Linked DNA regions of Coturnix japonica. The protein of the gene in region 2 purifies or fractionates together with the protein of the main gene of each other region. This does not show direct contact. Links are inferred from orthologs where the notes say so. Each region holds a gene or a part of one and is shown on either strand. Other genes may lie near its edges.

What was found.
Region 1: the proteins of BBS7 (region 2) and BBS4 purify together in Homo sapiens (co-immunoprecipitation; 7 studies listed by BioGRID and IntAct, counting the BioPlex papers as one, with this or other methods). This does not show direct contact. The link is inferred for Coturnix japonica from reciprocal best matches to the Homo sapiens genes BBS7 and BBS4.

Annotation. Positions count from the first base shown.
Region 1 is NC_029525.1:1,067,304-1,071,564, forward strand, and holds the start of BBS4 (Bardet-Biedl syndrome 4 protein), read left to right. Parts: upstream 1-1,388; 5' UTR 1,389-2,291; coding exon of another isoform or gene 2,292-2,317; coding exon 2,318-2,341; intron 2,342-2,388; exon of another isoform or gene 2,389-2,507; intron 2,508-2,533; coding exon 2,534-2,585; intron 2,586-4,261. Other genes in the region: E3 ubiquitin-protein ligase ARIH1, read left to right, coding at 295-379.
Region 2 is NC_029519.1:48,267,854-48,271,019, reverse strand, and holds part of BBS7 (Bardet-Biedl syndrome 7 protein), read right to left. Parts: coding exon 3,144-3,166; intron 2,078-3,143; coding exon 1,938-2,077; intron 360-1,937; coding exon 195-359; intron 100-194; coding exon 1-99.

The DNA.
Region 1 (4,261 bases), on a different chromosome or scaffold from region 2:
CCACTTCTTCATTTTTCAGTTATTAAAGGGATCTCTGAGCCCTTGGGACTTAGGGGATGCTTTTGCATAGGAAACTCTACATTTGCATGATGTTTTTTCAACCAGGGACCTGGAGTGAGTGACTGGAGTAACTGAAGTCTTAATTAGCGCTGTTAACCGGCTACAAATATAAAGCCCTTCTCAGGGGATAGCCCCTTTTGGAAGCAAGGCTTAATTTAGGTTTGCATTACTCAATGCTGGGGAAGAACTGTGCCTCCTAACCCGCTTTCTCTGTGCTGTTCCCCTCCGCTGCAGATACTGCGAGAGTCGACGAAGGGTTTTGTTGCAGCACGTGCATGAAGGCTACGAGAAGGACCTGTGGGAGTACATTGAGGACTGAGCCTGGCCCCGCATAAAACGAACTCTGAACCTTTTACCATCTAGAGCGCCCGTGCGATAACAATAAAAACACACACAAGGCACTACGCCTGTTACACCGCTGGTCTGTAGAACCGGGATTCTGTTTTGTTAACAGAAAATTTAAGTAAATTATATTGTAATAAAAAAGAGGTAGATAAACCATTGTACAACAGTATTCTAGGCGGCCAATAAGAGTGTGACAGACTCACAAAAAAAAAAAGCAACCCTCCAACTTTAACTTGTAACGTAGCTTCATTTTCCAAGCGACTCCTTTTTCTTTTCTATCTTTCTTTTCCTGTGTGTAGTACAGATGAAATTTAAACCAGTTTCTTGACACTGCTTTTCATGTCCAAACCAGCCATTTTGATGTACTTTGGTAAGGGGGGGGGATGCCTCCCGCCCCCCTCCTCCTCTCTGCCCCTCCCTCCCCCCCAGTACACGGATGAATGTTGATTGGCTCCTTGTAAAGATGATGTTTGGGGAGGGGAGGAGGGGGGTACACAGCAAGGAAAAAAAACCTTTGTATATGACTTTTAAAACAGAAAAAAAAAAAAAGAAAAAAGAGGACAACACAGTATTTTTCAAAGTTGTATATAGCGCATATGCATGGACAAAGAGCAAGCGTGGCACGTGTTTGCATAATGTTTAATTACAAAAAAATATTTATTCTTTAAAAATCTTCAAGATTATGTCTATTTGCTGTGCATTTTCTTTCAGTTGGATTTTTCACTTATATTATTTCCCCCCTCTTGTTCTGTTTTTCGCTGGGATGGGGTGGGCGAAGCGTGTGCTGCTGCAGTGACTGTTGTTGGAGGCTTTCAGCAGGCGAGTCGGAGTTCTCCTCTTGGTGCAGTTCCTTTCTGTCCGTCGTTCTGTGCGTACCCAGTGCTGGCGGTGGCCCCGTCGTTGCCATTCAGGATGCTTTGCCTCCTCCCCTGTTTTTTCTCCCCACATTGGTTCTGCCTGACCTGCCCCAGTCCAACTGTGCTGCTCCACCTGCACACGCAGGACACGCGCTCTCATCCTGGAGGAGCTGTGTGTGAGTGTGTGTGCGAGTGTGTGCGTGCACGCATGTGGTTAGAGTTGTTTTCTTATTTCTCTGAATTCCAAGGCAGGAAAAGGAGGGGGATTTTGCACCACTTCTCCAAAGACTTATGGCAAGATTTCGGCTGTGGATCTCCTCTCCCATCCCCTCTCATCTGTCCAATGGAGCGTTCCTTGCTGTTAAGTTTCACTTACATTATAACGAGTCGTAACGTTGAAAAGGAGAGATGATGGAATTGTCTTTGTGTTTGTTTCGGGCTCAGTTACCGGGCACGGGGTCCCGGCAACTCTTTAACACTCCATCTAGCGCAGTAGAAACTGAAATTGAGAGGGTATTTTTCAATTAAAAGGGGAAAGAACTAATGAGCTATAGCTGCTGAGTCCATTTTTATGATTTCTGTAACAAGAGCTATGTTAAAGTAAACAATTGGTGGTGGTTTTATTAAATCTACTCCTGTATAGGAACTCCTCCTGTGGTATTTTTCGCCAGGCCTCGAGCTCTGTGCGGCCTCCGGGGGGAGGAGGGGCCGAGGGCGGCTCCGCAGAGCAGGGCCGGCTCCGGGGGAGGCCTGAAGCGCCGCCATGTTGCGCTGCGGGCCGCGCCCGGCCTGCTGCCCTCGGAACGGCGCCGGGCGAGGGGGGGAGGGCACGCGGGGCTCCGGGGCTGCCCGTGTCGGTCGGAGCGCTCCCGTACAGCGCGGCGTGCGAGGACGGGGGGAAACCGCCGCTGTTCTGAGCGCAGGCGGCGCTTCACCGAGGAACAACCGCCCCCTCCGTGCCGCCCGGCCCGGCGCCGCCCTCCGCTCCCCTCACGGCCGCGCCTTCCCGCCTTGCGCCGCCCCGCCGCCATGGCAACCGCGCTCCTCCCGCCGCCATGGCGGAGCCGCAGGCCGGGCCGGTGAGCTGAGGGGATGGGGGGGGGGCTGCGCTGGGTGCGCCTTCCTTTGGCCTCTGTTCGCTTTGCCTATGTTGGCGGCATCACCGTCCCCCCAAAAACAAACAAACAAAGTCTTCGCTGTGTAACCGAGCTGCTCGTTGACAGCGGTGGGAGCCGTGCCGCTGAGGTAACGTTGTGCTTCTCTCTCCTCAGGTTTCTTCGTCGCCAGTGGTGGCGGGACCGTCAAAACCCCATCCTAAAAGAGGTGGGTTTTAAGTTCTGGTTGTGCTTATCGGGCAGGTTGGTCTTAAGATTTCTTCTTAGAAGAAATCTAGCAAGGATTAACTGCTCACTGGGAAAAATGAGGCAATCGTCATGTAGGATGGCTCGGGTTGGAATGGACTGTAAAGATCACGGAGCTCAGGCTGCCCGGGGTCCACCCGTGTCCGTGTCCCTTCCAGGGATGTCACTCACCGCCTCTGGGCTAATGGTGTCTTCCTCACACCTCACCTCCAGGTCCCCCCTGTTAGTTTAACGTCATTCCCCCTTGTCCTATCTATCACTACCTGCCTGTGTACGAAGTTGCTTTCCCTCCTGCTTACAGTCTCCCTATAAATACTGGCAGGCTGCACTGAGGTCTCCCTGCAGCCTTCTCTTCTCCAGGCTGAACACCCCCAGCTCCTCAGCCCGTCTCCATACAGAGGTGCTGCAGCCCTCGGAGCATCTCCGTGCCCTCCTCTGGCCCCGCTCCAGCAGCTCCACACCCTTCCTGTGCTGGGACCCCAGGTCTGGGCACAGTGAGGGCAGAGCAGAGGGGGCAGTGTCCTCCCTGCCCGCTGCCAGCCCTCTGTTGGTGCAGCACAGGATGCTGTTGGCTTTCCAGGCCCCAAATGGACACTGCTGCCTCGTGTGCGGCTTTTCATCCAACAGAAGTGCTTTTTTTCTAGGGTCTGTGAAGTCACTAGCTTGGTGCTGTTGCTGGCTAACTTACAGAATACTTCTTACAACCTGAGAGACTTTTATTGCATACATAGTTCCTGGGTTGTTAATGGATTTGATCTTCATTTATCTTTTTAAATAAAGAATGGCTTTGTACTTTCAGGTTCAGTTAATACTTTTACTACAATACAAATTGATTGACTCCATAGTGAGATGCCTTGTGTCCATCCTTCTCTATACAGATGATGATTCTGGTCCCCTCGTACCCCGTAACCCCACATCATTGCTTCTCATACAGGTCAGACCAGTGATGTTTGCAGGCTGTGCCTTCTGCCTGTATTTCAGGACACTGTGTGTCTTCAGTTCTCTAAGGCAGCTCCAAGACTGGTGGTGTTTGTGAGGGGATGGGCTATCACTGCCACGCTGCTTCCTGGCTCTATTAAGTCAACTCTGCATAATTCATGAGTGAATGGAATTGCTGAGCAAGAAAGATGGGGCCATCAACCTTCCAAACAAGCAGCAGGGGTGCACTGCATGGAAGCTGCCTTCCCTCTGTCTGCGTGCTTGTTAAACTCTCCAAGCCTTCCTGCTTTTAAGTGTGCGCAGCTTAATATTGATCATTTGGGAGGGTGAGATGAGACAGTTGTGCCTTTCTTAACAGGACCATTTTGCAGATCTTGCTGTTTGACAAAACATTACTTGTGGCTGTTGTGGAGGAGCTTTCTCTCATCATTTGGCATTTTGCATTGCAAGCCTGAAACCAAGCTGGATGCTTCTTTAGGTCACCAGCATTCCTTGGGGTTTTAAGGCTGCGTGGAAGAATTGCTCTGCTCTCTCCACCACGTGACGTGCCTTCCCCATCCTTGGTTTGGTATCAGTGTTCATACAGCTGTGTGCCAGAGGGAAACAGCTAGCAAATGGAATCCAGTACTTAGTGTCCGCTGGTCTCCCTTATGTGCCAATGTGATTCTTCAGGCAAAATTAACTATCACAAAGACAAAA
Region 2 (3,166 bases):
TTGAGATTAATCTTCCTTTTAGTGGCCTCTTTGGAAAGCACATCTTTCAGGATGGATATTGTCGAAATATTGTCAGACTTGAAACATCCCTCACCTATTCTGTAAAGGGAGAAAAACTTTACGTCGAACAAACAAGAATGAAAAAGAGAACAATCAAAAGGCAGCCACACGGTGCTCTAGTAGTTGTATTTTACCTGTAAGTACTTTCAAGTTGGGTACCCAGGAAGGTGTTTTGAAAATAAAAGGTGACAGTCTCTCCAGGCGGAGTCCTTTCGGGGACTTCAGGTAAGCAAAACACAACCCAAGAGTGAATTTCAGCAAAACTGAATTGTCCTTTGAGCATCAGTGTATTCATTGGCCTATGACAGGATGAAAGTTCAAAAGTCACTATTGGCTCCAAAGGATGAGCATTGATAGTGCATTAGTAATCCATATGAGAAAAAAATGTTTAGTTCCAAGTTGGTGGTTTTTTATAATCAGCTCTGTCCATGAAGTCAGTTATCTTGCTAAGTAGCCGTGCAGCACAGATTACACAGAATCACACAGAATTGTAGGGGTTGGAAGGGACCTCTAGAGATCAAGTCCAACCCCCCTGCCAAAGCAGGCTCCCTACACCACGTCACACAGGTAGGCGTCCAGGCGGGTCTTGAATATCTCCAGAGAAGGAGACTCCACCACCTCCCTGGGCAGCCTGTTCCAGTGGTCCATCACCCTCACTGTAAAGAAGTTCTTCCGCACATTCATGCGGAACTTCCTATGCTGAAGTTTCATCCCATTACCCCTAGTCCCGTCCCCACGCACTGCTGATTAATGCTAGTTTTCTAAACCAAAACCTATGTGTACATTCCACCTTTACATCATAGCAGGCATGTCAGAACTGGATAAGAAACTGAAGGTGTTTGACATGCACCATTTCAAGTTGTTAAACCTGAAAAGTAGCTAAAAAACACAGGAAATACAGCTAAGCTTCAACAGTTTCCCATCCTGTAAACCACAGACATTTATTTCAAGAATGAGGCATAGAATGTATTTGCATTTGGCCTTCAATTCCTTCAACTTGTCAGTTTTGTTTTAATGCATGCAACATAAGATGTTAATTAAGGACAGAGTAATCAAGTAGAAAATACATAAATAAGTAGATTTCAAATTCAGAGATAAGGAAGAAAAGTCTTGGCTCAATTTCAGAGTCAAATTAGTTGTGGGAAAGAATCACAATATAGGTGTAAAGGGGAGACTGTGGCTGAAACTGAAAAGACTGCGGTTACTGTCACAGCACAGTTTCCTTTCTACCACACCCTCAACTCTATTAATTGGATTGCTCTATAGCACAAGTCAGTAAAGTGAAAAATACACAGACCTTGAAAACACATAAAGAAAAGCTAGGGATGTGGGAACCAGTTAAATCTGTAATTTATGTCAAACCTACAAAGCCTATAAACTCATACGGGCTCAAAAATGTAGGTTAGGAATGACATGCTTAAGCCTATAGAGTACAATTTTTGACTGGATTGCATCAGTTTTTCAAATAAAAAATCAGAGAATCACAGAATGGCCCAGGTTGGAAGGGACCTCAAGGATCATGAATCTCCAACCCCCCTGCCACAGGCAGAGCCACCAATCTCTCCATTTAATACTAGACCAGGCTGCCCAGGGACCCATCCAGTCTGGCCTTACACCTCCAGAGATGGAGCATCCACAACCTCTCTGAGGAGCCTGTTCCAGCACCTCACCACTCTCGCTGTGAAGAGCTTCCCCTTGACATCCAACCTCAATATTCCCTCCCTCAACTTAAAACCGCTTCCCCTTGTCCTGCTATTATCTACCGTTTCAAAGAGTCAACTCCCCTCCTGTTTAAAGGCTCCCTTTAGGTACTGAAAGGCTGCAATAAGGTCACCCCGCAACCCAGCTCCCTCAGCTGTTGTAGTTGTTGCAAATACCTGTCATGGTCAATAGAATGAGTTCTCTGATGAAGTGAAAGGGGTTTAATTTGGTACTGATAAACTTGGCAGGTTTTTGGTTGAATTCTTGGAGTTACATATGCTTGAAGTGTTCCATATCGTCCTTCAATTGATCGAATCTGAAGAAGGAAACAGAGAAGCCACAAAAAAAGAACAAGAGAGAACTGAATGATTTACTGAGATTTGGAGAAGTAGTTATTATTCAAAATATAAGAAAGAAATCTGTAGATTTTCTGCAGTACTACAGAAGAGTAATAATATTTACTTGGTAATCCCTAAATAAAAAGCACAAAGATGGAGTCAGATGAAGTGACCTGCTCAAGAGTTAAAATGCACACCAACAGAATTGCTTAAGGGACCCAGGAAATAAGAGTCTTAACCTTGCCCACTAGTTCCATAATTGACCTCATCAAAAAAGGAATAGAAATTCCCCCACATTTGATGCATTTTATACAGGCTTAAATTTCTAACCACAATCTTTTCCTTTAAAACGTGCAGTCAACAAATATCAAGGTAGGAGGCTGCAGTGTGAGGTGACTGCATGAAAAGAAAGCCCAGAGTCCAATTTATCCTGAGGATTAACTTCAATAATCTTGATTTCTCTTATCATTTTCCCCAGCTATAGTTACAAAAATGTTTGAATGTGTTGGATTGTTAACAAGAAACCACACAACTGAGAATAGCCACATCAAACACTTCTCAGGACAAAAAGTGTCAGTGCTCTCCTTCCCACACTTCTCCACTTTCAATTCCACAGAATCAAGTACACTCACTACTGACCATTTCTCAACTGCTTTCATTTTAGGGGTACTCAATGAAGGATCCCAAGCTCTCCTCTGATGTAACACAATTTTAGAAGGCTTTAGAAACCCTGGACCAATCAGAAAAAAATATTAGCCCCAGATTAGACACTGCTTAGGAAACAAGCAGCACTAGAATAATGGAATCATAGAATTGCTCAGGTTGGAAAGGCCTTAAAGATCATCAAGTCCAACCGCAACCTAACCATACTACCCTGCCTCTAACAGCCTTCCACTAAATCATGTCCCTGAGCAGGGACAAACACAAACTGGATGAACCATTTACTCAGCTTAATTGTTCAGCCCAGGTCAGGCAAGATTCCTTCACACTGCAGCAAACATCCACATCACAATTTCTTATGGAAAATAATTTACAGCACTTTACCTTAAGTTCAAGTCTTGTAGTAT